Oryzias latipes: one gene and its partners. The protein of the gene in region 6 purifies or fractionates together with the protein of the main gene of each other region. This does not show direct contact. Links are inferred from orthologs where the notes say so. Each region holds a gene or a part of one and is shown on either strand. Other genes may lie near its edges.

Evidence for each region.
Region 1: the proteins of hnrnpr (region 6) and histone H2AX purify together in Homo sapiens (affinity purification with mass spectrometry; 3 studies listed by BioGRID and IntAct, with this or other methods). This does not show direct contact. The link is inferred for Oryzias latipes from reciprocal best matches to the Homo sapiens genes HNRNPR and H2AX.
Region 2: the proteins of hnrnpr (region 6) and larp7 purify together in Homo sapiens (affinity purification with mass spectrometry; 4 studies listed by BioGRID and IntAct, with this or other methods). This does not show direct contact. The link is inferred for Oryzias latipes from reciprocal best matches to the Homo sapiens genes HNRNPR and LARP7.
Region 3: the proteins of hnrnpr (region 6) and hnrnpu purify together in Homo sapiens (affinity purification with mass spectrometry; 3 studies listed by BioGRID and IntAct, with this or other methods). This does not show direct contact. The link is inferred for Oryzias latipes from reciprocal best matches to the Homo sapiens genes HNRNPR and HNRNPU.
Region 4: the proteins of hnrnpr (region 6) and dhx9 fractionate together in Homo sapiens (co-fractionation; 3 studies listed by BioGRID and IntAct, with this or other methods). This does not show direct contact. The link is inferred for Oryzias latipes from reciprocal best matches to the Homo sapiens genes HNRNPR and DHX9.
Region 5: the proteins of hnrnpr (region 6) and snrnp70 purify together in Homo sapiens (affinity purification with mass spectrometry; 3 studies listed by BioGRID and IntAct, with this or other methods). This does not show direct contact. The link is inferred for Oryzias latipes from reciprocal best matches to the Homo sapiens genes HNRNPR and SNRNP70.
Region 7: the proteins of hnrnpr (region 6) and heterogeneous nuclear ribonucleoprotein D0-like purify together in Homo sapiens (affinity purification with mass spectrometry; 4 studies listed by BioGRID and IntAct, with this or other methods). This does not show direct contact. The link is inferred for Oryzias latipes from reciprocal best matches to the Homo sapiens genes HNRNPR and HNRNPD.

The regions. Positions count from the first base shown.
Region 1 is NC_019872.2:15,233,819-15,236,699, reverse strand, and holds histone H2AX, read right to left. Parts: upstream 1,262-2,881; 5' UTR 1,163-1,261; coding exon 737-1,162; 3' UTR 551-736; downstream 1-550. UniProt on the Homo sapiens protein: Variant histone H2A which replaces conventional H2A in a subset of nucleosomes. Nucleosomes wrap and compact DNA into chromatin, limiting DNA accessibility to the cellular machineries which require DNA as a template.
Region 2 is NC_019876.2:11,528,787-11,532,924, forward strand, and holds the start of larp7 (la-related protein 7), read right to left. Parts: upstream 2,917-4,138; 5' UTR 2,790-2,916; intron 2,391-2,789; 5' UTR 2,390-2,390; coding exon 2,182-2,389; intron 2,103-2,181; coding exon 2,002-2,102; intron 921-2,001; coding exon 837-920; intron 743-836; coding exon 578-742; intron 497-577; coding exon 412-496; intron 1-411. UniProt on the Homo sapiens protein: RNA-binding protein that specifically binds distinct small nuclear RNA (snRNAs) and regulates their processing and function.
Region 3 is NC_019882.2:13,244,975-13,249,297, reverse strand, and holds the start of hnrnpu (heterogeneous nuclear ribonucleoprotein U), read left to right. Parts: upstream 1-1,419; 5' UTR 1,420-1,581; coding exon 1,582-2,014; intron 2,015-3,118; coding exon 3,119-3,233; intron 3,234-4,323. UniProt on the Homo sapiens protein: DNA- and RNA-binding protein involved in several cellular processes such as nuclear chromatin organization, telomere-length regulation, transcription, mRNA alternative splicing and stability, Xist-mediated transcriptional silencing and mitotic cell progression.
Region 4 is NC_019875.2:12,671,778-12,676,085, reverse strand, and holds the start of dhx9 (ATP-dependent RNA helicase A), read left to right. Parts: upstream 1-1,454; 5' UTR 1,455-1,552; intron 1,553-2,062; 5' UTR 2,063-2,133; coding exon 2,134-2,244; intron 2,245-2,314; coding exon 2,315-2,455; intron 2,456-2,683; coding exon 2,684-2,789; intron 2,790-2,861; coding exon 2,862-3,016; intron 3,017-3,189; coding exon 3,190-3,338; intron 3,339-3,798; exon of another isoform or gene 3,799-3,858; intron 3,859-3,944; coding exon 3,945-3,991; intron 3,992-4,308. UniProt on the Homo sapiens protein: Multifunctional ATP-dependent nucleic acid helicase that unwinds DNA and RNA in a 3' to 5' direction and that plays important roles in many processes, such as DNA replication, transcriptional activation, post-transcriptional RNA regulation, mRNA translation and RNA-mediated gene silencing.
Region 5 is NC_019866.2:24,779,803-24,784,120, reverse strand, and holds the start of snrnp70 (U1 small nuclear ribonucleoprotein 70 kDa), read right to left. Parts: upstream 2,825-4,318; 5' UTR 2,620-2,824; intron 2,260-2,619; 5' UTR 2,254-2,259; coding exon 2,107-2,253; intron 2,033-2,106; coding exon 1,970-2,032; intron 846-1,969; coding exon 791-845; intron 709-790; coding exon 644-708; intron 577-643; coding exon 514-576; intron 290-513; coding exon 208-289; intron 1-207. UniProt on the Homo sapiens protein: Component of the spliceosomal U1 snRNP, which is essential for recognition of the pre-mRNA 5' splice-site and the subsequent assembly of the spliceosome. SNRNP70 binds to the loop I region of U1-snRNA.
Region 6 is NC_019869.2:6,652,068-6,656,336, reverse strand, and holds the start of hnrnpr (heterogeneous nuclear ribonucleoprotein R), read right to left. Parts: upstream 2,903-4,269; 5' UTR 2,733-2,902; intron 2,214-2,732; 5' UTR 2,210-2,213; coding exon 2,047-2,209; intron 1,964-2,046; coding exon 1,845-1,963; intron 1,767-1,844; coding exon 1,659-1,766; intron 1,557-1,658; coding exon 1,443-1,556; intron 808-1,442; coding exon 631-807; intron 485-630; coding exon 349-484; intron 263-348; coding exon 57-262; intron 1-56. Other genes in the region: ATPase inhibitor A, mitochondrial, read right to left, coding at 3,839-3,980, 4,059-4,171. UniProt on the Homo sapiens protein: Component of ribonucleosomes, which are complexes of at least 20 other different heterogeneous nuclear ribonucleoproteins (hnRNP). hnRNP play an important role in processing of precursor mRNA in the nucleus.
Region 7 is NC_019870.2:2,825,292-2,829,499, forward strand, and holds the start of heterogeneous nuclear ribonucleoprotein D0-like, read right to left. Parts: upstream 2,841-4,208; 5' UTR 2,480-2,840; coding exon 2,313-2,479; intron 1,221-2,312; coding exon 1,052-1,220; intron 393-1,051; coding exon 231-392; intron 1-230. UniProt on the Homo sapiens protein: Binds with high affinity to RNA molecules that contain AU-rich elements (AREs) found within the 3'-UTR of many proto-oncogenes and cytokine mRNAs.

The DNA of each region.
Region 1 (2,881 bases), on a different chromosome or scaffold from region 6:
GAACAGCGTCTGTGTGTAAAATGATCAATAAGTTGTCGTGAAGATCAACATTCTGGTTTATCATTATGGTTTGGTTATTTTTACATGCATTATTTCATACCTGACTCTGGATATTGGCAATTGTTATGCAACTAAATGGAAATCTATATTGGAAATCTTCAATAAGGTTTTAAACAGTTTAAAATTCAACCAAAGCTAAGTCAGGGTTTAGTTTCCTGCTGGACTTTTAACACTAAACCGGTTTGGAACAAATTGTCGATCATGATTCAGATCTATTAGTTTCCTCCTGACTTTGAAGAACATTTCGTTTAGTTTTACTAATTACGACATGCTATGATCACAATTTTGACAAATCTCCTGGTTTTGTAAGATCAAAACTACATTTTGCAGTATAACTTAGTTAATTTGAATTTGTCAGACCTTAGGACACAATTTATCCCGGTTCCGACATCTTAGTTTGTTTACTACCTTATGCAATGTAAATGTTATGAAGTCCTTTAATATAGTTTAATTTTCTGCTGAGTAGGGAAAGAACACAAAGAAACAAGAGTGAACAATCAAATTTTCAGTTTAATGAAAAGCCCTGAATGTAACGTTTTACTAAGTACATGTTACGGTAGTTTATACAGTAAAGTCAGTCATCGGTCATATGTACATCATGAGGGGAAAGGTGCTCTTTCAGTGAGTGAGTGGCCCTTAAAAGGGCCTTTGGTTTTTAGCGGCGATAGCTTAGAAGCTAATATTCTTGAGACTGCGAAGACTTCTTTCCCGCCTTTCCGGAACTTGGTGTAGCCTGGCCGGTCTTCTTCGGCAGCAGGACGGCCTGGATGTTTGGCAGGACGCCGCCCTGGGCGATGGTCACGCCGCCAAGCAGCTTGTTCAGCTCCTCGTCGTTGCGAACGGCCAGCTGAAGATGGCGTGGGATGATGCGGGTCTTCTTGTTGTCCCTGGCGGCGTTCCCGGCCAACTCCAGGATCTCAGCGGTAAGGTACTCGAGCACGGCGGCCAGGTAAACCGGGGCTCCGGCACCTACTCTCTCGGCGTAGTTTCCCTTACGGAGTAGACGGTGAACACGGCCCACGGGGAATTGCAGACCAGCACGTGAGCTGCGGGTCTTTGCCTTAGCGCGGGCCTTTGCTCCAGTTTTTCCTCTTCCGGACATATTCGATGTAGAAAGTTCCCTCCGGTTTGTAAACACAAACGTTGTCTTTCAGTGCTGCAATACAGATATCCAAATAGCACCACGTTGACCTGGATATAAACCCCGTTTTGGTCCCGCCCTAAGCATCGATTGGCTTTCAAAGAGGAAGTACTGCGATTTCATTGGTTTAGCGAGACGAAACCGGAAACGTTGGTCAACGTCTTCGATTTACAGCGTTTAGGCTATGAACCAATCACGTAAAGGGTTGTGGGATAAAGGGAAACGATTGGTTAGTACTTTGGTCTCCATGTTATGAGTGGCTATGTGGCAGACACATCAGACCAATCGGAAATGTTCCCTCCAGGTTTAAACCTTTGGCGGTTTTAACACAGCCGCTGACCAAAGTCACGTGAATAATTGAAGCTGAGCAGCAGAGTTGATGGTATCTAGAAAATTCCAAAACCTAAGATCATTTCTTTTAAGTGTTCAACTACATGCCAGATTATACACTTTGTGGCATAAACTGAAATAACCTTGATATGTACAGTATATGTGTGTGAATTTTGAAAGATTGTGAGTGTTATGGAATCTAAGAACTTTATTGATGTTTACATAAATAAATAAGCAAAGGGACGTGTTTGTTGCGCTGTATTTTAGCTGCATATCTTGGCAAAAAGCTATCTAAGCAGTTTGTGTTTTTTCCAATAACTCATTTTGAGAATGTAGGAACAACTGGATACTATTTACTTAAAAAGTTACTTTAAATTAAAGACTTTAGTATTTAGCATACTGTTACAAACAGTTGTGTTAAACAAACCGCTTACCTCTTATTTTTTTCAGGAACTCCAGCTTAGATTTACCAAGCTGTGTTCGAGTTATATGATCGAGTTTTGTTGATTAAAAATTCCCATTGAGACCAAATCTCCTTTTCAAGGGATACCTATTTACTTTTTAAAGACATCTTCTCCATCCAGTATACCTGGATAAATAGTGGTTTGAGAGGGAAACCATACGGATCTGCAAGAAACCTTTGTGTAAGGAAAGAGGTTTGTATACTGATGTATTTTGTATCTTTGCTGTAAGAATCTTCTTTGAATAATGCACAAAAAAGAGAATACAGATGCTAATATTAAGTAATAGTTTAGAAAATAATTTATTTGCAATAAATACAATTTTTGAACAAGTAATAGGTCACACAAACTTTCAATATTGCAGTTTCATTCTTGTAAATTTGTTTTGTGGATGCTTAGCTCCACCTTTGAATATATATCTGTCAAAAGAGAAGAAAAAACCTGAATATTAACACTTATTTCAAGTTTGTGCCCTTCTCCCCTACTTATTGCAGTCACTGATAAAAGCAAAAATCAAAATTCAGATAAAAAGTCATAAAACAGATAATGTGAATTCTGTTACCTCTAATAGCATTGGAAGGGTGCAGCAGATTTCCATTTTATCAAAACTGAATTTGTAGCTCTGAGAACAGACCACCCATCTTGTAAAAATTTCTCTATCTGGCTACCTTTCAATGTTTTCTCTTACTTATAACAGTTTCTCAAGGTAATGCAACTGTTAAATGCAAATGCAAAAACCTGCATTCTTAACTCTTTTTCATTTAGACATTTTTTGAAACAATGAGGTCACCCAGTAATGACATTTATAGACATAATAATTTGCATTAAGCATCACCCACAGAGCCAATCTGTTTTTTGTTAGTCATATAAGAAATGCTGGCAAAACAAC
Region 2 (4,138 bases), on a different chromosome or scaffold from region 6:
TATTGTGAACTGATAAATCAATGTTAGCCGACCTGCTAAACAACCAGGTCCCTACTTTAAATGTAAGAGTGGGGACGCCTGGAAAACCAAACTGAGGCTTAACCTGTTAAAAAGAGATGTCTAGCACAAATGCTTTTAAAAACAAAGAAGGCCCTCGAATGTTTAGGAGCTTCGTGTCAGCTTTCATACAGTTGCATTCGATACTTAAACATAAAACAATGTTTGCAGACACAGATTTAAATAAATGAGTTAGAAAACGGAGAGCAGACAGAGAAAAAGCAATGGTATTGGAATGAAGCAGTCAAGCTGAACCAACAAACACCTTCTTATTGTTATATACAGAGTCTGAATGAGCTGCTCAGGCCAACATACAGTGATGTGTGACATAGCACTGAACCAGCACTCTCTCACCTGTAACAGGAATCGGCTTCCTATTTAAAGTCTTGGGGAAAATCCCAGGCTTCCTGGGTGCATCTTCAGGAGGGTTGTTCAGCATCTGTTTTCAGAGATAAAATATACGTTAAGATGGAAAAAAAAAATGCTTTCCTTAAGAGGAAAAGTGACACGGATAGCTCACCTCTATTGCTTTCTGCGCTTGTTCTTCATTCTCAAATTCAACAAAGGCAAAACCCTTGGAGTCGCCCGTTGTCCTGTATCTGGGAATGCTCACATACGTCACATTCCCGCATTTGGAGAACACCCTTTCTATCCAGCTGTGGGAAACATCCTTGGGCAGAAGTTCCTTGGAAAATTTGAAAGAAAATCAGTAAATATGTGTAAGGCTTGAATTATGTTTTTAAGCCAAGCGAAGGCGACAACAGAAGACGTCGTTTTACCACGTAGACAGTGCAGCTGTCGCTGTTGATGGGTGGGTCACCAAGCGGCTGTTGACGTCTTACTTTGTTTCCCTCCAGGTTAACCTAACACGCAAAAGAAAAACGAAACCCAACTCATTCAAGGGGCCGAAGTGAAATCAAAGCTAGAACGAACTGCTAATAAGGCTGGGAGTGGGGTTAAACGGCCTACAGGCGCCAATCACACCCACCCTCGCTGTTCCCTTTTGACAGCCCTTACTGGGCGGTTGCTACATGCTTAAAATAAAAGCAGTTCATTTAAAAACAATTCCTTATATATCTATACAAAATCATATTTAAGAATTTGATTTATTGGAAGAGTATGGACACACCCTCGACGTTTAGCTTTTGAGAGAGTTACATTTATTGTTAAAAAAAAAGAAAAAACCTTCAAACTTTAGTGGAATCCTTATAGAGGTTTTTTCTCCTTTGTGTATATTTTTTATATATACATATTACTTTTAACGCCAGAATTGAAATGTTTTGTTGTGATGTTGTTTAAAGCTTTGAAAAAACAATGACAATAAAGATATAAAAAAAAGGAAGAATTAGATTTATTCAATATAACTTTGTGTAAAACTGATACTAAAACATCTTTTTTTATTATTGTAATTTGGTTAATATTTTTGGCAGGATTTAAATGATTAGCTTTCAAAAAACACAACAAAAAAGAAATACTTCATTTTTGCCTAATACTATTCCATTTGGATCTTTATACAAAGACAAACATATTTAATTCTAAGTTAATTATTAGATCATTTTAGGAATTTTATTTTTCATTAATGGTTGTTTTTTTAACTTCACCCCAATTTTTTGCTTTATAAAAAATACTTAAATCTAATCTTTAATTCCCTTTAAAAAGTAATAAAGCTATTAAACTCAGATGATGTATCTGTTTATTTGCCTTTTTTGCTTTTCATTATTTTTTTTAATCGCTGTTTTTATTATTAAATTGTATTCCTTTTTTTCTCTGAATTTTATTTTTACTGCATTTGGATGCTGATGTCTGCTGCTTGGTTTTTGTTCCAGTTTTGTATTTTTGGGAGGTTTTGGTTTCCATGGAGTTTGTGATTTTAACCTACTACGTCTTCTGTGACTTTGGATTAGTCAACAAAACACAGCCCTGCATCCAAGTAACAACATTTACCTCAACTAGAGTGGAATTTTTCAGCGCCCTGGCAATGAGCTTTGGATCCGTTGTCAGCTTCTTCATTCGATTGAAGCCCGTCAACACAGATATGTCAACATCTGAAAGGGGATTCACACGGAGGTTAGAGATCCTAACCCCTGGAAAAATCACACTATCCTCATCTTGACGGCTCCTTACATCCATCATCAGACTCCTCTATAATCTTTTTCAGGAAACGGTCCTTGTGGAGGTTTGCATCTCCAAACCAGAACTCCACCTGCTTCTTCACGTCTCCCAGCAGCTGTTTGACCCGGTACCTCTTCTTCTTCTCTGTCTCAAGTTTCAGCTTGTCGCTGGGTGCAGCGGCAGCACCGCCTCCACTTGCCTCCTTGTCTGTGTTAGTCATCCTAAAAAACAGAATCCCACACACTCATACAAAACCAAAATCCTGATTTTAAAAAATCTCCAAAAATAAAACTAAACCACATAATAGGAATTATCTTACTATGGTTTATTGTTTATTTGCTGCATTTGAGTCTTGGGGTTTACACACAAGACATTTTTGTAACCATAACACAATAAACAAATCTCATTCATATGTAAAGCAAAAAAAAAAAAAAATTGAAAAGCGAAAACAATAGAATTTCAGCAAAAACAGCTCTTAAGCCAAATCACGGCTGTACGTCCGACTTTTTAAAACATGTATTCAGTAGTATTGTTGTTGAAAATAGTTATAAAAGCGAGCAAAGTTCCGCTTAACTGTCAATAAATTACTTTTAAAAATGTAGTTATTTTTGCAAACTTACCTGAGTAAAAGATATTATAAACATCAATTTAATACTAACATAACAAAAAATACAAAAACACTGCGGCTAACGGACAAACATCACAGAATATTTCGAATGGAGACGTCGCACAATGATGTCGTCACAACTGTCCGCCAGGACGTTTATTCAACTTCCGGTAAGTTCTATTATATTGAGACGTACAAGAAAATTCAGCACCGATTAATGTGAAGAAAAAAAAATAACTTCATACTTTTAAGGAAAAAAGAAAAACTCAGCAACATTTTTAAAAATATATTTATTTAAATTTACGCAAAGTAGCAATAGAAAACATTCATTTCAAATGTAAACGAAATACAGGTAAAAAGATAGTTTCCAATCCAAGAAGTACACATTTATTTATTTCTGTTGTTTTTTTGTCCTCTTTTTTGTGTAAACTAAACTACCCATGTCTTTATGTGACATAAGTAACTAGTTTTGATAAGTGACATGGTCAATCTACCTATTAAGACGGTTAAAAAAAACAATAATAATAATAGTAAATAGTAACATGGATATGCCGAGATGTCGTCCTCGTAACAATTTTATTCTCTGTGTTTAAATAACGCGCACGGCCGGTTAGCTCAGTTGGTTAGAGCGTGGTGCTAATAACGCCAAGGTCGCGGGTTCGATCCCCGTACGGGCCAACATGTTTTGTATTAATGTCTGAGGTTATATGGTTTATATTTTTTATGACGTGATGTTTTCCTGGGCCCTGTTTCAGAAATGAGGTTAAGTGTAAACTCTGAGTGCGTTAACCCTGAAATCAGGGAAACCCTGGGTTTTCCGTTTCAAAATGGGAGGTTTGTTAAACCGGAGAAAGCAGAGTAAGTCAAACCCGTTTCTGAAAGATAGGTAACTTATACTCGGAGTCAGCGTCCATAGTTACTTACGCTGTGAACCTAACCTGGTCGGGAGCAGGTTTTATTCTTTAAACTCAAGGTTTCTGCCGGTCCCCTCCCCTTTTTAAAGACGAAGCGGTATTTTTCGCTTTAACCTTCATTGCCCAAATTTCAGTCACACAGAGACAAGTGACAAGAATGGCTTGTCCTTTTTTGGAGGACCCAATAGACGAGGAGGCTGCATTAATTCGTAGAGAATTACATTTACGTCGTGCGAGGATTTTGAGACCTAGACTCGATTTTTTGGCATTTCCCCATACGTTTTTGTTTGAGCGTTACCGTTTTTCGTTGCAGTCAATTACATATATACAATGAAAACAACATTAGATATGTATTGCTATGTAGATGTTTCATATGTCAAATATTGTCAACAAAGCCTACCTCCATGACATGCTCAAATTTGACCTGATTGAATTATGTTTTTATACT
Region 3 (4,323 bases), on a different chromosome or scaffold from region 6:
CATTTTAAAGAACACAAATTTGGAATTAGAAAGTGTCATTTTGATAATCATTTAATCTATAGTAAAAGTGTTCCCAGTGATCTTTTAATTATGATTATGCTGTTTTTAGCCTAAATCAAAAAACCTGTGTTGTTTTTCTAGAACATAGTTTCTGCAGACCACCAGTAGTTTTTCAGAAATTCACCTCTGAGTTGTGGACAGAACTGATGAAGTCTTCCCTCATTTCCAGTCATCCATTTGTTACATGCTCTCCCACTAGCTTACAGCCCCTCGCAACCCAACCTAACGTCAGGTTGCAACAACAATGGCAGGCAATATTGGAGCTATCCAGCAGTACAGTTTTAAGCCAGATGCCAGCTCAGACGAGGAAAAGAAAGACGTACACAGATCTAGCCGTCTACAGGTTCATGCGTCAGAATGGAGCAGAGCAGGAAGCTTGTGGCCAGACAACTGTAGCATCAGAGCTACAAGCTTTTTTAGACTGGATTTCTTTTCTATTCCTGATTCACAACTTTGAATAAAGAAATACTCAGAACTGAATTTTCTTTATATATGTCCTCCATCATTAGAAAATTCATTCATCTTCCTCTGTTTATCCCTTTTGGAGTCACGGGGCTGCTGTAGCCTATCCCGGCCACTTATGGGCGAAGGCAGGGGACTCCCTGGACAGGTCGCCAGTCTGTCGCTGGGTCACACATTTCACACACCCACATTCACACCTATGGACAATTTAGAGTGACCTATGAAGCATGTTTTTGGATGGTGGGTGGAAGCTGGAGTCACCGGAGAAAACCCACACATGCACGGGGAGAACATGCAAACTCCACACAGAAAGGTCCCCCATTGATGTTCTGTTTCAGGTCCCCCAGCCGGACTTGAACCAGGGGCCTTCTTGCTGTGAGGCAAGAGCGCTAAACACTACACCACAGTGCAGCCCATCATCATTGGAAAATGCTTAAAGAAAATTTTAAAAACACATAAAAGAAAAGCATGCTTTTCAATGGAGTGGGTCTTTGATAAGAAAAGTTGGGAGATAAAATTCAATAATTCTGCTGCCATGCACAGTGGTGGAAGTGTAGTCATGAGGTGACTAAGTACCAACATTCCAAAGAGAGTTCATAATAAAAGACCAAAGCTGCAAAGGAAATTTCCATTGAAACTGGTATTAAATTTCAACATTAACTGTAGTTTGTCCCGTTTTGTTGCTGAGGCCCAAATTAAGCTGTCATTTAAAAAAGGAAACTTTTTTTCTCTTTTTTAGCAAATAAGTGGACAATATTTCTCTGCAATAATGTATAATGTGTTTGTAAGATAAGTATAGATGTTTTCTTGTGTGACAGTAGCAGATGGCAGGTTTACCAGAAGAGGGAAAAAACCCGCTGCGCCATTTATTCAGTGATTACGGTAGGAGAGAGGCCGTCCTCCTCCCCTCCCCACTCAACCGCCGTTTCAGCGCAGCTCTCCGCCGGCGAAGACTTCTCGGACAGCGGGTGCTATTTTGGCGCAGTTTCCTGTCTATAGGCGTTCAGTTATTTATTTATCGTCGATTTTTTAAAAACTGTTTGTACTCTTGCATTCAAAATGAGCACAATTAACGTGAAAAAGCTGAAAGTGAACGAGCTGAAAGACGAGCTGAAGAAGCGTAATCTGTCGGACAAGGGGCTGAAGGCCGAGCTGATGGACCGCCTGCAGGCCGCGCTCGACGAGGAGGCCCTGGTCGGGGATTCTTCTGCGGCCCAGGAGGGATCGGAGGAGGAAACCCTCGAACAGGCCGCCGAACAGGAGGTGATGGGAGAGGAAGAGGAAGGCGACGGCCCGATAGAAGAGAGCATGGAGGCTAATGAGGAAGAACAGGATAATGATAATGGGGACGAGGGCAATGGCGTAGCGGATGACGAAGACATGGGTGAGGGGGAAGAAGGCGACGAAGACGACGAGATGCTGAAGGGAGATGTGGACGACATGGAAAAAATTGACACGGAGGATGGTGAGCCCGGGGAGCAAGCTGCTGAGGGTGAGTCTGGTGAAGTGATGCTGAAAAGGTGGCTGGCTGAATGGACTGTGGCTGGCTGTTTTTTTTTTTCGGGGGCTGGTTGCGAAGATTTTAGCGCGTTACCAAGGAGCGTCCATGTTGAACACGGCGGCGTGATTCAAGCTAGTTAGCATTAGCAGCTAGCATCGGTCACCTCCTCTTAGTTAATCGTTTTGTAACTCTAATTACGCGTTACCATATTCTCTCAGGCACGTTTTAAAGAGTCGTTTCAAAAACACAATTTAAAGTTTAGTAATAGTTTTAATTAAATTTATATGCCGAGAACCGTCCTTTTTGGTTGACCTTTAAGCTTTTTCTTTCGATTTTGTAAGGTGTGTTAGCTTGTCAGCTAGCGCGATTTCCTTTGTTTCTGGTGTAGTGCTAACAAGCTAATTTAGCAGGGTTAGCCATTTCAGATTTTCCCTTCCTGTTAAGACATAAAGGGGGAATTTGCAAGCCACAAATCTTGTATCTTACTGTCATTTGTACAATCTCACTGGAATTACTTTTGAAACATTTCATTTCCCAGTCTGCACAAATAAAATAAACAGGAGAATATCTGCGATGGCTAACCCCAAATTTAAATAGTGGTAGCTCAGCTGGTTCTGCTGCTTTTGTTTAGCTAGTTTTTTTTGTCGTGGTTTTTCTGTTTAATAAAGGTTCCAAAATCATACAGTGTAACAAATGGGGAGGTAGTTTAAAACCATATCTAAATAGCCTTACTTGCATGATTTATTTATCCCCCTTAAACAGTAAACTTTCCCTTATAAGTTAATCAAACCCCATTGACAATGGTGTATTTTTCAGACTTTTATTTCGCCCCCACAAAGCATCACTCATTTATTTTATAATTTTTGGCCAGTTTATTGTTTAACTACCTGGTCTTAAAAGCTGTCATAACCATTTGATTGTACTGTATTTTCAGTGTAAGTATAGTGCTGCCTCTTTGAACATTCATATGAATTATGATGGACACAATGTAACTAATGAACGGGCTTTGTGGGCCAGAACCCCACTGCTAGTCCGACCTCTCTCTCTGTCTCAAAAAGGAGCACCTCATTCTATATCTTTGTTCTATTTTCAAAGGGGATGCGGACAAAGACACGAATGCTGATCAGAAGAATAAGAAGGGTGTTAAGAGACGCCGGGAGGAACATGGAAGGGGCTACTTTGAATTTATTGAAGAGAACAAATACAGCTGGTAAGGATGGGACAGAGCAAAATGGCCTTCAGCATCCCTGAAGCGCCATCCATAGCTTTGTTGGATTGTATTGGCTTTAAGTGCCAATGCACACATTTCTAGCAAGAGGAAAACCCTCTGTTTTTTTGTTTAAAATAAAAAGTATTCTCTTATTTAATAACTTTCACACATGTGTTTTCAGGGTCATCCCTGACTACCTAAAGAGCCTTACCATTTACTCTACAATGCCCACTCACATAGCGTCTTTAATGGACTGCATTCTGTAGCAGAAGTGCATCTGTGACTTTTCACATCTGTTCCTCATGCCACTTATTGTTTTGTTTCTTTTGGAAAAGCCCGTTGTGTCCTTAAGGTGAATGGAGGCTACTCTAAGCAAAACCCACAGAGGGAAATAGCAGGTGTACACTTTTTCAAAAGGAGGGGTGGGTTGAGGAAAGTAGCCGAGGGGTCTGAAAGAAAGTAGCACACAAGGATTTAGGAGATTTAAAGAAAAAAATCAAGATTATTGGAGCGTCCACGGAGGAGCTTCGGTAGTGATCGTCCATGTTTTTTCGGAGTGTTCTGCCTTTTTGTTGTTGTTTTCTCTCTATCACACTCTTGTTGCTGTTTCTGTATCATGTTTGTGTAAAATGTCATGTTGTGTGCGTTTGGAAGAGTTTTTATACCCCGCGTTCTGTGACCTCATGCATGGCTTGCAAGGGAGTTCCAGTGTGAGTGTGAACATGAACTTACTTTTTTTGGTCACGTGTGTTGTTTTCATTGCACTACCTGGACGCTGAAGATCGATGGGCACAGCATCAAAAATGTTGGCTGTTTTATTTATTTTTAAATTGTGATCACTTATTTCTGGTTGTGTTAATCCAGGAAAGTCACTTCCTGCTTCTCCAAATTGTCCACTTGACGTTTTTAGGGATTTATCAGTTTAATCTTTGCCCATATTTTCCCTTCTAAACAACATAACCTGCTTTCAAAATAATCTAAAATAATTTTTAAGCTTTAAGGACCTTTGTGGTAAAAGTGGGTTTACATCAGGCCTTTGTGTTAAAGTCCCACTCTGATCATCTTTAGATCTATTTTGTAGGCGTTCCCA
Region 4 (4,308 bases), on a different chromosome or scaffold from region 6:
AAATAAATGAAAGTATCATTGTTTTTCTAGTCTGTTGGTTGGATCAGTGTTTGAATCTGAAAAGAAAAGACAGAATATGTAAGATGGGGCTTTAGAACAAGACACACTGGTTTCACCGTCTCTGTGACTACAGCAGGTTTCTGCCAGAGCCTCTACAGGCGTTTATGGCTACTCTGCTCAGCGACTGACCACCTCAAAAAACTGGATATGGATAGAGAAAGCGTGGTTTTCTCTCCTGTGAGGTTCCTGTCTACAGCAGTAAACAAAGAGCAGCAAAAATGTGCAATTCTATTTCATACTATTGGTTTTATCAGGACTATAAACAGGACAGATTTTCTGTAGATTCTGTAGATTAAATCTTCGGTTGACACTGAAAAAATAAAAATGAAATAAAAATCTATGGTTTTAAGCTAATAAACCTTACAATGCAGGTCATGTTACAGCTATGTCATTTTATAAGAGAGATCTGGTTTTTTCTTAAATTAAAATCAGATGAGAAGTTTAGAAATTAGACAAGGATTTGGTCATTTGAAGATTTTTGTTTTATAAAAATAAACTGATTTGTTAAAACAAAATTTATTCGTGAGAAAAACAATGGAACATCCCACGTAACAAAATAAAAGGTTTTTGTTGACTTGATTTAAAATATAATTTACATTTGGAGTCCATATTTCGTGCTCCAAATATGAATCACACAGAAGCAAGATTAATATTTCCATAGTTGTTACTCGAAATTTGAACTTCTGATTGTTTATGGAACTTACATAAATGCTGAATTGAATTCATGAAGGAGAAATTGTGAAAAATTTTCATTTATTCATTTATTCATTCATTCATTCGTTCGTTCATTCATTTGTTCATTCATTCATTCGTTCGTTCATTCATTCATTCGTTCATTCATTTGTTCATTCATTCATTCGTTCTTTCATTCATTCATTCATTCATTCATTCATTCGTTCGTTCATTCATTTGTTCATTCATTCATTCGTTCGTTCATTCATTCATTCATTTATTCATTCATTCATTCGTTAATTCATTCATTCATTCATTCATTCATTCATTCATTCATCTTCTTCCGTTTGCTCCCTTTCGGGGTCACGGGGCTGCCAGAACCTATCTCGGCCACTTGTGGGCGAAGGCAGGGGGCACCCTGGACAGGTCGCCAGTCTCTCGCAGGGTTGGAATAATTTTAATAATTTAAATTTGATTACAGCAACAACAACAAAAACTTACACTGATTTTATGAATGTTTATGACACAGTGGCCACTTATAATCCTTGTGGACAATGGGTTGATGTTAACCACAATGTAATTTGAGTAAAGGAAACCAACTAGAGTGACAAAAGACAGAAATCTAGTTCTCATCCCAGTAGAATAAAAAAAATCATCATGCAGAGGGGCGTTGATAAAAAAGGATCAACTCACTGCCAGGAGCTAACAGTTCATTTCACCTCCAGAACAGAGGGTGGCGCTGTTGCGCGGTAGAAGAGTTCAAAGCTTCCGCTGTTGCCGCTTTGCAGGAATCTGCACTGCAGACTTGACTGAGCGGACGGTAGGTGTTGAATGTAGTCGTTGATGTTAGAATGAAAATGTTTGCTTTTTTAATATTTATTTTGCATACGTACTTCGTGTCTTACTGGCGTTAGTTAGTTTAGCCTCAATGCGTCTGTCAACGTTTACACCGGTTGATGAATGAAGCTAACGTTAGCATACTAGCATTTTCGTTGTAGTTGTCTCAGTTGCAACTGATGATTCAATGTGGGATCAATTGGGGAAAAATATTGCATGGAGGATCACATTATTGCTTGATGATAGGAGCTGCACGTGGCTAGCTGAAGTATAAAAACGGTCAAACATTTCCCCCGTGACTTAGTAACGTTAGTGTTGTTATCGTTTCTCCCTGTGTGTGTGTCGGCGCACATATGTTTTTCTGTTTAGGGTTTCTTTTACGACACGCACGCAGGCAGCGGTTTACTGTAGCTTCCTGAACAACACTGTATGTTTTGATGTGACGCCTGCCAGTGATTCTGCGGTTGTTCAGAGCCACCTCTGTGTTTTACAGGCAACACTAAGGGACCAGGGCACACCTGAAGCTCGCAGGTAAAGCCCACGCGGAGCTGGAAGCTCGCCACTATGGCGGACATCAAGAATTTCCTGTACGCCTGGTGTGGAAAGAAAAAGCTGACTCCCAACTACGAAATCCGGGCGGCGGGCAACAAAAACCGGCAGAAGTTCATGTGTGAGGTCGGTCTGCATTCACAGCCAGCTGGTTTGTAACCAGACTCTCCCGTAACGTCTCTGTTTGCTCCTGAAGGTGCGGGTGGATGGCTTCACCTATGTGGGGATGGGAAACTCCACCAGCAAGAAGGATGCTCAGACCAACGCCGCCAGGGACTTTGTCAACTATCTGGTCCGAGTCGGGGAGATGAAGGCTGAAGAGGTTCCAGCTCTGGGGGTCAGAAAGCTTTTTTTTACGCTTTTTTAAAGGAGATGTAAAAACAAAGCAAACCAGAGGAACATCTTTCCAATCAATAGAGCATCCAGCTATGTTCAGGCCAGAACAGAAAACCATTTAGAAAGTCAAGATCCATAAAGACTGGGAGACTGCAAGGATTAGTCAAAAGTTTACCAGTGGGCAGCGAACACTTAACCGGAACTGACGGCCTTTTGTTGTTCTACCCAGGCCGTGGCTCCAGAACCCAACCAGCCCGAAGGACCTCCGGGAAGCTTCGGAACCCTCCCAGCCAGCGGGCCGCTGCCCCCCCACCTGGTGGTGAAGGTGGAGAAAGGTTTGAGCCGAACACACCTAACCTGCTGCTCCCTGACTTCAGTCCTCTTCATCCTGTGGTTTCTGTTTTCAGAGGCTGATGCCTTCATCAATGCACCTCCAGGACAGACTGAACAAGGGTTCCCTCCTAGAGGTGGCAATGGGGGAGGAGGAGGAGGGGCTGAGTGGGACAGAGGAGCCAACCTGAAGGAGTACTACGCCCGGAGGGATGAGCAGGAGGCTCAAGCGGTACTGGAGCCAGCTATGTGCCATGAAGCTGCTTTTCAAGAAGATCCCGGTCCTTTTGAGCTGTGTTGTCACATGTTGCAGTCACATGACTGTGACAACATTAGGCGGCTTCATAACAGGTGGGACTGCTCTGCCTTAGTACCGGTCCCACTAATGCGGCTCTCCTGTTGTAGACGCTGGAATCCGAGGAGGTAGACCTGAATGCAAACTTGCACGGAAACTGGACCCTGGAGAACGCCAAGGCCCGTCTCAACCGGTTCTTCCAGCAGGAGAAGATCACCTCCGAGTACACGTACAGCCAAGTGGGACCCGATCACAACAGGTCTGGATCAGCGCTCCCCTACAAGCCGTCTGACCAGATCCAGCCTGACGAGCCCAGGTCTCTCGTCAGTCTGGATCTGGTCTTTTCTGCTGTTCAGATCTGTCAGGTGGGGGTGGGAGAGTGGGGTATTGACAAATGAACTCTAATTAAAAAGCTGCAGCTTCTCGGGTTGGTAAATGTTTCCTCTGAAAGGGGCCACACTCCTGGGCCCGCCGCTCACTGGTAGCACCTGTGTGTTTTTCTGCCGGACTGCTGCAAACCCAGAGAGCTCCTGCGTGTGCCGGCTACACCGGAGAGCCCTCACAGCCACATGCTCAACTCAAAGCCTGCAGAGCGACACTAGAACTCACGACCACGCTGAGGAAATACATGGGGATGGCGTTTAGGTTCTCTAAAGCCCCCCCATGGGTGCAGCTCCGTGGTCTCTGGTCGTGATTTGTGGTGTTGCTCTTCATTGTAGGCTTTAAAACCTGAAAGTCTGGCAGAAAAACGCCCAGGTTTCTTTCTGAGGACACATCAGGTGAGTCTGCTCCTGAGGGATGCTTGGCTTTAGGCTTTTACTTTGAAAGGCACGGGATGTAACTCTGCCATGTTATTTGTCTGCAGGAGCTTCATAGCAGAGATGCAGCTGTTCGTGAGGAAGCTCGGCAGAAGTAAGTTTTGACATGTCTGTACATGAGACCACAGAGACGGTTCTGTGCTGAGATTCTTTACGCTTATTTTAGCAGAGCCAGTAAATAGAAATTGGTGCTTTCCTTAACAAATAGAAAACCTTTTCTCTTGTGTTTTAAGTATCAGAAAGCTTGTATTTTTTAGCATTTTGAAATTTTTCTTAAAACTAAATGACAAAAGACTAATACCGGCAGAAACCAATTCTTTTAATAAATATGAAACAAACGAATCACCCCTCAAATAGGAATAGTTTACTTTCTCCCGCCCCATTGTGCCTTCAACCCTGTTGAGGTGGATG
Region 5 (4,318 bases), on a different chromosome or scaffold from region 6:
GCAACTGTTAGTCCACCGGCGACACATCGAGCAGACCCCCCCCCCCACACACACACACACACACGTCAGACGAGCAGCAGACATGGATCTGGTGAGCAGAGCTCAGTTTGCTGGTCTCCTTACAGAAGCATCAGTGACGAGCAGTGCTCTGATCCACACACACCAACACAGACTGGCTTTGGTGGCCGATGCCTCAGCCGTACTCACAGTGCATGTCTCGCTCGTGCTCATACTCTATGAAGGCGTAGCCGCGGGGCTTCCCTGTTCCCTTGTTGTAGACGATGTAAATCTGAAAAGAAAAACTCCTGGTGAGACTCGGCAGAGCGGAGGCAGCAGACATGCAGTCAGCGCACGACGACACGCACAAAGCGGCGCCAAAACGCTTCACGCACGGCTCTTTACTTTTTTTTATAGTATTTTGAAGAGCCAGGAGAATTTTCTCACATTGTAAAGACAAAAGGGTTCATGTTTTGAAGAAAATCTGGACACAGAAAAATAATAATCAATAGCTACCCGTTTAATGGGGCCATAGACTTCAAACTCACGGCGAAGTTTGGACTCTGTCGTATCATAATTCTGAAACAAAAAGGTTTTAATTACCAGATGTGAACAAGGAGTGAGAAGAACCAAGACAAATACTCACCACTCGTGCCACAAACAGAGTCTTGAAGGCATCCCCCTGAGCATTGGGGTCATTATGGGGGTCCCCTGACATGGAACAAACAGGAAGGATGAGCACAAAGCTTTTCACCGTTTGAGGAGAACGGCGTGAAGAAAGTGACAAACTCACAGAGCTTCAGTTCTGTCTCCACTTCTCCCTGTCGCCTCTCAATCTTCTCTCTCCTCTGGAAACAGAAAAGAAAATGGTGACGGCCAACCGCAGAGCCTCCAACAGCAGAGCATCAGCACAGAGCTGACATAATCCCGCACTTGGTTTCTTGTCTGCTGCCAGCATGCACCTGTGCTGGGCTCCTGCCTGGTATAATATTTCTATAGACTTGAGAGGTTTTCACCGAGGCAGAAAATGCTGAATGAAGGAGTTAGGACTGTAATTCAACTACCCCTCCTTTGAGAATCTGCATTCATTAGGTCTGTGCTTCACAGCCAAACTCCTGCTTCAGTCAATTCACAAGTTCACAAATAAATTTCCTTTATGGCTCAAGACGCTCAACTGAAACGTTACAACCCCAACATAACATTATCTGTGCAACAAAAATGGCGAGCGATAAAGGAGCTATCCAGGCGTTGAGTTTCTCAAACAACAATACTAACAAATGCAATTTTAATCCTAATTTTCTGTATACATGCCTTCCATCGTTATCTACGCAGCACAATCAGAGATCCAAACAGTAACGACTGGTGGACGCTGCAGCACAGACAGGATCAGGTTAGAGGTTTATATAGTAAAGAGATGGTTGAGTGTGCCATGAGAAATTACTCAATTTCACCTATTTGTTCTAAAAAAAAAAACATTTTCCATCGCCAGAATATTAGCTCTACGTTCATCGAAATACGCCCAGGTTTCAGTTGGGAGTACTACAGATCACAGAAGACTTTTACTTCCTATTTAAGACACTTTGATTAAAAAAAATGTCTGCACCACTACTGTGCAGCAACTTAGGCCAATGGCTCTTATTTTGGAAAAAGTTTGTAAAACACCCCCAGTTCCTCACCCTGACAAAATACCAGCTAACAATGGTGGAAGTGTAGCTTCAAGCAGGATCCGGTGTCAGACCGTGTAAAAAGTGCATCCAATAATGAAGCCCGGAGATTTGCATCAGTGTCACAGAGTTTACTACATCTCCCATGATTCATTGGGTTGATGTGACAGAATCTGTGCTACTGCCAGCTGCCATAAAGCAAAACAAACGCAAATATGAAATCTTCTGGATGAAAGCAGAGATAAACCGTTTATTTATCCATCAGGTTCTGTATTTGAGCACATGTGCAAAGGGGGGAGGAAACTCACCTTTCTCTCCAGGCGTTCCTCGCGGGTCTCGGCTCTGGTTGGTGGGGGGGCATCTCTAGGATCCTGGTGGGAAACAGTAGGAAGGTGAGACAGAGGCATCGGGGGGACGGAGGCTCGCACGTGACAGCGACGCTCACCTCGAAGTGTCTGATGAAGGGGGCGATGCCGCTGTACGGCTGGTTGTGATGCTTCTCGTGGGGCAGCTTCTCCAGCTGAGGCAGGAACGGAATCGGGTCCCGGGGGGCGAACAGGGCCAACAGGTTCGGCGGGAGGAACTGCGTCATCTTTCACTTGATCGATAAGGAAAACATGCATGATATCAGACACGGATCTGCCGCAACACAATGAAGCAGCGAAACTAGCTGTCAGGGCAGCTAGCTAGCTAGCTAGCTAGCCGTAATACCCGTACTAGCTAGCTAGCTTCACGCGCTTATTGTTCACTTCCCCACAGGACGGGGGACGCGTTCAACGCATTTCATGCATCCAGAAGTAGAACATCAGGAACCCCCTCCCACAGTAGTACACGTTATGGTCTGCGTACAAGTTAAGAGTTTGGCCGTCCGGAGGCAGCCGGAGGCGTCTGCTCCGCTCGTGGGATGTAGCGCTCCCGTTAGCATGGAGCTAACCACTAACTGCGCCCTTACACTCACCTTCTCTCCTCCAGAGTCCAGCAGCTTTTAGTTCATGGACCTGAAGGAGGAGCGGGACTGTCCGCGGGTTCGGTGGCTCAACGTAGAACCGCCAAAAAGAGACTCCGTGAAGATAAAAATGCTGGAAATGGAGCTGAAAACAACGTGGAGATAGCTGGCTGCGTACTGCGGCTGCTCGGCCTGTTGAAAATATAAAATGGCGGGGGGGACCGCCGCGTGAACGTACGTCTTTTGACGTAACTTACGTGATGACGTCAGGACGCCGTCCAATGAGTTTATTATTGACAATGTGATTTCCATGTGATTTTTCCCATTTTGCTCTGAATTTTATTGAAATAAATATAAGTTTCCTTTGACATTGTTAAAAGTTTATTTTTTTGTTAAAAAAATAAATAACTTGTTAAGTGAGAATCACTATGGGTTTGGTTCTAATAGGTCTACAGGTTTTGCTACAATGAAAGTAGTTGAAGAAATTTCAACAGCAATTGACAAAAAGAAAAATACATTAAAAGTTATCATTGATTTAAAGAAGGAATTTGACACCATAGATCATTCTATCTCGATTTCTAAACTGCATGCGTATGGGGTTAGAGCAATCGCCCACCAGTTATTTACAAAACAGACAATACAGTATGTGCAGTTTGGAGGTAATAAGTCTGATCTCATGAATATTATTTGTGGACTTCCACAAGGTTCAATTATAAATGTTTGGGGTATTTCTAAGTTGTTGCAGTTTGTTTTATTTGGACATGAAGACAAATTTCTCTGTTCAGGGATAATCTAAAACCCTAACTTAAAAGTGTTAAAAAGGAAATGAAACTTAAAATGTGGTTTGATTATAATTAACAAAAACAAAGTTTATGGTATTTGGTAATAAAGAAAAAACAGAAGTGGCTTTATCCATTGACAACATAAATATAGAGCAGGTGTCTGAATTTAAATTTTAGGGGTTATGTTGGATGACAAATGAACATGGAAATCTCATATTTTATGTAAAAAATAAAGTAACCAAGACCCTTTTTGTTTTGAACAAATCCAAGTATATTTTACCATGTCAGAGTGTGCATGTGTTATATTGCTCTTTGGTTTTACCGTACTTTACATTTTGTATTGAAGTGTGGGGGAACACAGATTAAACTAATATAATACCCTTAATTTTATTACAAAAGAGTCTCTGCTTCAGCTGGTCCCAGACCTGCTCTATGGGGTTCAGGTCAAGGGTCATTGCTGGTCAGACCATATGAGCCTAGAGACTGGTTGTGATCATTCTGGCAGCATGTGGTGGAGCGTTATCATCCAAAACTGCAAAACTCTCACACAAAATAACTCAATAGGAGTGAGATTATATGAATTTGCTTTTTCCAACTCCTTTTTTTCCTAGCACTAAATCACTTTCTACTTGACTATTTAGTTAATAATCACTATATTTAAATGTGTCTTAAGTGTGTCTTTGTTTCTGTTTGTTTGTTTGTTTGAATCTATGCAGTTGATTATCTCTGTAAGGAGTTTGATACATCCGTGTGATTTTTCTCTTGTATTGACTACAATTAATACTTGAAAGAAACCAAACCAAATCAATCAATCAACCAACCAACCTATCTACCTATGAACAACTGACTGTATGAAAACTGGACTGAGTGACTCGTCCCCCTGCGGTTCCAAACAAGAGTTACCTGCTGGTTCAAAGAAGCCAAATCTG
Region 6 (4,269 bases):
TTAGAATCATTTTACAGGTACAGGTACTTCCATTTCTGAACAGGAAAATAGCTCACCTTTGCCATGACCTCTGGGTCGGGTTCAGCTACAGGGTCAGCCCACTCAACGGTGACGGGGTTGCCCCAAACCTTCACCTTCCCACTCATTAGACGCCGCCGAGCTTGTGCTGCAGACTTGTGGTCCTCGTACTCCAGAAAGCAGAAGCCACGGTTCTTCTTCTTATCGTCTGGCTGGTGGTACAAAATCACATCCTGAAGACCCTCTGCAAAGAAAAACCGCATCACTCGTCAGCGACAGACAACCGACTGAAAGGGTTTCTCCAAATACAATCATTGACTTGAAACAGACCTGTAACCTTGCCGAAGTCTTCCAGTATACTTTCCCTCGTCTTGTTTTTGGGAATTGATCCAACAAACAGCCGGTTGTTTGCAACAGATATACAAACTCCCAAATACTTGCCAGGGCGGATTTCGTGGTTATCACACTAAAAACAAAAAAACAAAAAACAGCAAATACTTGAAAAGTAATGAAACACAGTAGAAGAAAACACACATTTGCTCAAACTATTCTTCCACAAAATCACTTTCTTTTATATCCAACGGGATCCATGAGATTTTAAAATGGACTTACAAGCTTGACGGCCTTTTGGGCATCGTCCTTGTTGCAGTATGTGATGAAAGCGTATCCTCTGTTTTGACCAGAAAGGGGGTCCATCATTAACCTCAGGTCCCAGATGGGACCTGCAGACTCAAACAGGGGCACAAGCTCGTCTTCATACAAATCTCTGGGGATTTTTCCTACAAACACCTGAAAGAAAGACAAAACACAAAAACTAAATCAATCATGAAAAAAATGACAATTCTATATAAAATTAAAACAATTTCCCTTCTAATTCAACTATCCATATTTATTTTCAACTTTCTTATTTACCTGCTTTATATATATATATATATATATATATATATATATATATATATATATATATATATATATATATATATATATATATATATATATGTGTGTGTATATATATTTCGTTTTAGCATGCGTATGTGAACGATTTTAAACTGATCTTGTGGCGTTTTCCTGTTGAAATAGAGGAAGAAAATTTAGCTCAAATTTGTATTTTTTGGGTATTTCTTTATTCAAATCTATGTAAATCAGGAGCAGACAAATTTAAAAAGATTGTATTTGTCATCTCTGCTCTGCAAAGGGAAAAGGGGGGCGGGGGCGCTTCACGGCAACGGTCCACTCAGGTGAATTTCTACTGAACTCCTGTCGCTCTGCGGAAACTATAATCTAGAAAACTGCACAGGTTTTTGATTGTTTTTCAAATGATATGAAAAGACCAGTGAGAACACTTTGAAAATAGATCAAAAGATGGTCGGAGTGGATCTTTAACGAACAGGATGTGTAATCATGCTTCTTTAAATAATCCCCACCTCTGTTCCAATCCCTGGATGTGTGCCTTTGAACATCTCCTCAGGTGGGGGGCCTCCATACTTTCTTTGTCCCGTGGTGACATCTAGGGTGTATCCTGTTCGCTCCAAGAGAGCCTTGGAAAGTAAACAATCAAAAAATGGGAAAAGCTTTGTAACTGAGAGAACATTTTGGCATTTCAACTTAGCCCAAAAAAACTGCAAATCAAGAGCGTTTACCTTTATTTTTGCCTCATCTGGGCCTTTAGTGGACTCTTGTACCTTACTGCCTTGTTTTTCTCTCTGCCTATACGTCTTCATAACTCCACAAAGAAACGCACTTTTATTCTGCAATTAAACAGACCAAATGATACTTTAGAAAACTGTTTAAAAAAGTACTGATGAGCACATAATTGAGTGTAATACCTGCACATGGGACAGATCGCTCTCCTTAAACTGCTGCAGGACTGTTAGAGCTCCCTCCTCATTGAACTCCCGTAGAGCATCAATGGCCCTTTCATCCAGATCTGCATACGCTACCAGGCCTAAACATCATGACAAAGTGAGCTAAACTGAACACATCAACAACAAACACATTGGAGCTTTGAAGGTAACAACAACCAGCCACCTGTTTGGAAAATGTTGTCTAGATTTTCAGCCACTTTCTGGGGAAGCCCTGCATCAATGAGGGTCTGGTAGTTTTCAGTGTGAGTTGTAGTTGTAGTCACATCCATAGGCTCCTCTTCTTCCTTTACTGGGGCCGAACTACCATTCACCTCAGCGGAAGCCATTCTCCTGTTAGATAGACATGAATAAAAACAGTTTTAGTTTATTACTTCATTTACTGTCAACTTGACATACCAGAAACAAGCTATCAAATTACGGAATATCTGGCTTTTAACTCAAAGATTTTTTAAACGAAAACGTTACGTTAAATGTCAGTATTATTATAAAAAACAATGTTATTTATTACTGATTTTCAAAATAAAACGACCCGCTCATACATTTTAAAAGGCTTATTCCACAGTACCGCCCCCTTCACATGGCGCCTGATCGATAGCTAACATCTTTCATTTATAATACTACGTGGCCCAAAATGTTCTAAAAGCTTAAGAAAAAAACAGTCATCAATGAGATCCAAAAAGTTCCACTCGTTTAAATGAAGTATTAAAGTCCATGTGTGTTGATTTTAGCAGTACACAAGAATACGTCCTAGCTAGCTAACGGGCTAACACGAAGGCCTCGCCGTGCAGCCCAGACACCTTTACACGCGCGCGCCGTAAAAGGCACAAACGGGTAGTTAGCAAGACTTACCAGGATGATTTAGAAAACTAGCTGGAAAATGTTTGAAAAAATATGAAACACTTGTTTTTTCGGGCGTTGGGAAAATGCTAAATGCCAAGAATGTTCAGGTCTACCACACGACAAATTTTTTCCAGACGGCAGCGGTCTCGTCTCGGCTCGCCCGAACAACGCCACTGAGGGAAACATCGCGAGATGTGAGAGTCTGCGGTACAACGTTGGTTTGCAAATCTAGCTCGTGTCATTGGGTCTTCAAAATGGAAACATGACTTTCTGTAATATTTTTTATTTTTCTCAATTTTATGTTTTGTAATATCCGCTTTAAAATTGTGTAAATTTCCAGAGGCTACAAGGAAATCAAACTGTTTTTACAAGTGTAATCAATCTCCTCACCATAACTTAGAAACCAACATATTTACATTTTTTCCAGTACTAGTAATTTATTTTATGATTAAATGATGGGGTGTTTGATTGTAAATTTCGATTAAAGTTGAAATATTGCCCTTTTAAAAATGTGATTTAATCCATGTAATAATTATTCCTCGTTTCATTTGGTTTATTCATTTGTCCTGTTTGGTTTAGTGAGGTAGGAAAGTATTTACAAGGTCTGAGTGAATTTCTTAAATGGGTAAATCCCTCAGACAGAGCTAAGGCCTGAAATGACAGACCTTTGTGAAAGTTTTGGCTTCAGTTTTGCAGCAAATGCCCTTCTTGGTCTGATGGAGCGTATCCATCCCCATAAGCTTGTGGTACCTTTACAGAACAATCCAAAGACTATCCAGATCTGACTTTGCTTAGCAGCTGAGATCACATAAGACCAGGTATCTCCAGCTGTGCCATCAGAAGTGTTCACAACCTCTCCATATCATCACCATAACAGGCTTAAAATAAAAACAAAAAATGAGTCCAGGTGTAACCGGGAACCCTAAATTTTGAGATGGCATAAACAGGGGAAATGAAAATCAACATAAACCAACAGAAAATCAATCATTTTATTTTGGAACGTATATAAAAGATAATCGTTTGCTTCATTAACTGCCAAAATGAGCAGATAGTCAATTATCTTTACATTGTTTTCAACGTTGCCACCCTTTCTATCAGAGTTGTGAGCGCAAACTTCAATCGTCATGTTTCAGTTTTCTAATCTTGCCAACGTGGCGGTCGATCTCCTTTTGCAGACGCTCTATTTCCTTCTTATGGTGCTCAATCTCTTCCGAATGATGCCTCCTCAGCACCTCCAGCAGCTCCATCTCCTTCTTTCTGCAGACAAAAACCATACTTGTCAAAAAGGGAAACGCTGGCATGAAGTTTTCCTCGAAAACCTGTTTCATTTCTTACCTGAAGTACCGCTCCTCCTCCACCACCGCTCGCTTTCCAAAAGCACCTCCTGCCTGCCTCACAGAGCCTCCTCCACCTCCACCTTTCCCTGCTCCTCCGCCCAACTCACCAAGCTGGAACAAAGGGCACATCATAGGATCCCAGCATGCAGTGGCTTTTCCATAAAAACGAGCAAACTTGACTTTTTTTGGTTTCAATTAGGCAACTGTTG
Region 7 (4,208 bases), on a different chromosome or scaffold from region 6:
AAAACCCCTGAGAGCGTTTTTCACAAAAGCACAGAAGCCGAGAGTGCAACATTTAATGACGAGAATTAAAGAAAAATACAGAAGAATTACACAGTTTAGGGTCTGCAGTTACGCTTTAGGTCTCAAATTGGACGCAAAACTTCTGAAAGTTCATAAATAAAAAGAGTAAATCAAGTGTGTCAAAGGATAAAAACTGGTTTAAGCTGAGTAAAAAAAAAAACGACACGAACCTCTCCAAAGGCACCAAAGTACTCTCGGACCTTCTCCTCTGGGGTGTCTGGAGACAAACCACCAACGAAGACTTTCTTCACCGGCTCCTTGCTCTTCATGGCCTTGGCTTTTTTAGGGTCGATGACTTTTCCGTTGAGTTTATGTTCCTTCTGTGACGCCACCTTCAGAACAGAAAGCAGCAAATACATAAATAAAACTCACTAAATGACACAACAACAACAAGAAAAAAATCAAAGCTGATGTAATAATTAGAAACAGAATATAGAAGGAAAATGTTGAGGCGTGTCTCCACAGAAATCTGCTGCTCATAACAACATCAAACGTAAAGAAATATTTCAAAAGGCTGACGTGTTCACTCATGAGTTTGTCTGAAATCTTCTGAATTTATTTGATAAATAATATTATTGCTTTTTTTCGCATGAAGGAAATGACTAAGCCTCCAAAATAAAAGACGAACTTGGAGCTGAAACAGTTAAATGTTAAACTGCTTCACTGATTTATTGTCAATTCAGTGTGATTCGAACAAATATGTATTTATTTCAAAAAAGTTGTGAAACAAACTTTTTTTAAATGAGTTAAGTTAATCTGCACGTATCTGTTGATTTAAACTGAACAAAGGTGAACGTTTTATGAATAAATTCTTGAATGTTTGAAATTCTTGAAAAATAAAAAATAAAAAGCTGCTTTTTAAAAAAGTCAAAACAGAAGACAGTGCTTACAAGAAAATTTCCTTGATCTGAGAGACATTTGATTAGATCAGACTGTTTTTTTCAACACCACCCCAGTAAAAACAACATTTAGGTATTGAACAGAATCGAACCTTTTCCACACTTTCGGCGTCTTTGAAGAGCACAAAGCCGAAGCCCCTGGAGCGTCCGGTCATGGGGTCCAGCTTTAATGTGCAGTCTACCACCTCCCCGAACTTTGCAAAGTAATCTTTCAGGTCTTTCTTCGTGGTGTCCCAGCTCAGGCCTCCAACAAACATCTTCCTGCCAGCAAAAAAACATTTGGAAGGAGATCCGTGGTATAAGTTTGTGTTTGTTGTGACCCAAGTCCTAACTATAAGAATCTTTCCTCGGGTTGCTGCTGGCATTTTCATTCATAAAATATAAAACGAGTGAACAGTGTGATGAAAGAAGTGAAACAGAAAGAACTGAAGAAAGCCTCTTTGTTTTTATATGACCCCGAAGAACCCACAGGGTCAAATTTGGCAGCTTTTCCTTTTTTTTAATTTATGTTTTTATGTAAATTATGTTTTTCTATTGTGTTTTTTAGCCACAGTTAATTGCTGCTCCCCGAAACAAACAAAGAAACTTTCAAATGAACTTCAAAGACCCACTAATGAAAAAGGTGTTTGGGGTATTTTTAGCATGTTCTTGTAGCATTTTTCTGATGATGGACGACATTTATGGTAAAATTAAGCTTAGACTGTGTTTCTGAGTATTTCTTTATTCAAATCGTTGTGCATCAGGGGCAGACGAAGAGTTTGAAAAAGATCATATTTGTGATGTAGAAAAAACACGCTGGGCGGGGCCACAACCTCCCTGCTCCTCTCCATTCTAATGCATCCACTTACATACAGACTAATAGATCCATCTGCAAAGCTTTGTTTTCCTCGTCTGAGCTGGAATCTGGATCTGAATTTGTTGCCCCGCTAATGGTAGCTTGGGGTTGTGAGAAGCCATAAGCTAGCAGGAGGGCTTGTGAATAGAGACCTCTCAGTTAGGGTGATGGGGGGGGGGGGGGGTCTGTGCCAATGGTCCCGCCCACAATTTAGAGGTGAATTTCTAATAAACTCCCGCCGCTCTGCAGAAACTAAGTCTTACAAAAAGACAGGTTTTTTTTATTTAGCTAAAACGGTATAATCCTAATCAAAATAAACGCCAATACATTTTTGGAACTCACCAAACGTTGCCGCAAATATAAAACAATTTGAAAATAACTACAACAAATGTGCGTCCATGGATCAACAGTGCCGTGGATAACCGTGCAGGAGCTTTCCCGGTCATCCGAGCTGTATGTCCCAGAAGTCTCTCTGGGAGTATGTTTGTATGAAAGGCTCCCCGCGCGGATAAACTTACCCTTCATCTTCTTCGTTTTTGCTGGCGTCGATCCTTGATCCCTCGGCCTCGTCCCCCATCAGGCCGCCATCCCCCTGAGCTGACATGGGGTCGTCATTGTTAGCCTCTCCATCCTCCTCCATCCTCATCATACTCGGGTCTTCGCTAAATTCATAATCCTCAGACATCTTCACTTTTTTCTCGAAAAGATCAAATGCTAGTTCTAATGAAATGATTTTCGGAAAAAAAAAAATCAAAAGTAATTTTGAGCCAAAAAAAATTCGATTTATTTTAAGCTAACAGCCAAGATAGTTGCTAGCTGCTAACAGATAACAAATAACAAAAGCCGATGTTCAAAAACAGGACGAGGCTAGCTCAACTTATTCGAAGTTATCTCAAAATTTAAATAGATAAAGAAAACGCCTTGATCTCTAAATATAATTTTCTTTCAGTTCTAATAATTTTAAAGGATATTTTTTCATCCGATATTTTAGTTTTCTTGCCAGTCGTTTCTTGTTTGTCTACTTCTGCGAATCCCAAGTGAGCATTTGAGTGCAGAGCGCCACCTGCTGCAGCGGAGATGTAACACCAGGGTAATTTGTAAATAATTGAATATTTTACATTTTTTAAAAGGGACTTTATTCAAATGAATTGTTCTCTTATTAATAAATAAATAAAGAGATTTGTTGTTTTAGTTTTGAGCCTAATTTTCCAAGATCCAATTATCTTCATCTTAAAAATCTTTAGATACAGTTCTAAATCTAAATATGAAAGACTTTTAGTATTGGACCTTTTTTTCTCTCCAAAATAATGGAAATGGTTTTAGGAGAAACCAATCAATCAATCAATACATACATACATAAATAAATAAAAAGCATGACCAACTCTATATTTGATTGTTTTGTTTAAAAATGCTAGGCAACAAAAACAAAAATAAAATTCTGAAATTGAAATGAAAGGAAAGGAAAACTGCTCAGCAAACGAGCAACCAGAAGAAAAACTTTATCAAAATCAAAAATCATACTAACACTGACACTCATGATGGCGCATCAGGGACACCATCAAAGAAGAAAAAAAGACATATGTATGAAAATAAAGTCATACAATTATTAAATAAAGTTAAAAGTTAGGAGCATTAGTTTGTACAACATGAGAACAAAGTCATACAGTTATGAAGAAAAATCTAATTTGTGAGAAGAAAGTTGTACAATTGTGAAAAATAATTCAACAATTTTCATATATAATGATAAACAAAGGCTTCAAAAAGTTGTAAAAAAATATTACATTTAGCTTTTAAAATGTGCAAAAAAACAGTTTTATACCTGATTTATCAAGAAATCTGTTTTTGTAACTGTATTTTTATGAATTTATAACTTTTATTTGACAAAAGCATGAAAAAACGTAAGTGGTTTATCAAAAATAGATGGTAATACTTATTATTTCTTGCAAAAATTGTTCTAATGCAACATATTGTGGTCTGTATTCGAAAATCTAGTGTGCATCGATCTGGTGTTGCACACTGGTTTTTCGCAGAGACTTCTGGGAAATTTGTAGGGCACTTGATTTTGGAATTTAAATGTGAATATTGGGCCATTCGATTTCGGAATAGATGCGGACAAAATGGCAAACGCACTATAGTGAGTAGTCGTCTTGTAATTCAATAGTTTGGTACTCATCACCAATTTCTGGTTTCCCCACTAAAATAAGTTTTACGACTCAACAGCGCCATCTCCCGACGCGGAGGCTAAACTGACGATGCTGAACATGTGAGCTGGTTGTTGCTTTGTAATGGTTGTCGAGCTCATGTCACGGACAGGTTGTGTCAAACGTAACTGTTTGGATTTCGATCGGTGTTGATTTTTCTGTCTGGAGAAGCAGCGAGTATCGGACCGGACCGGACCGAATCGCCGCCTGGCT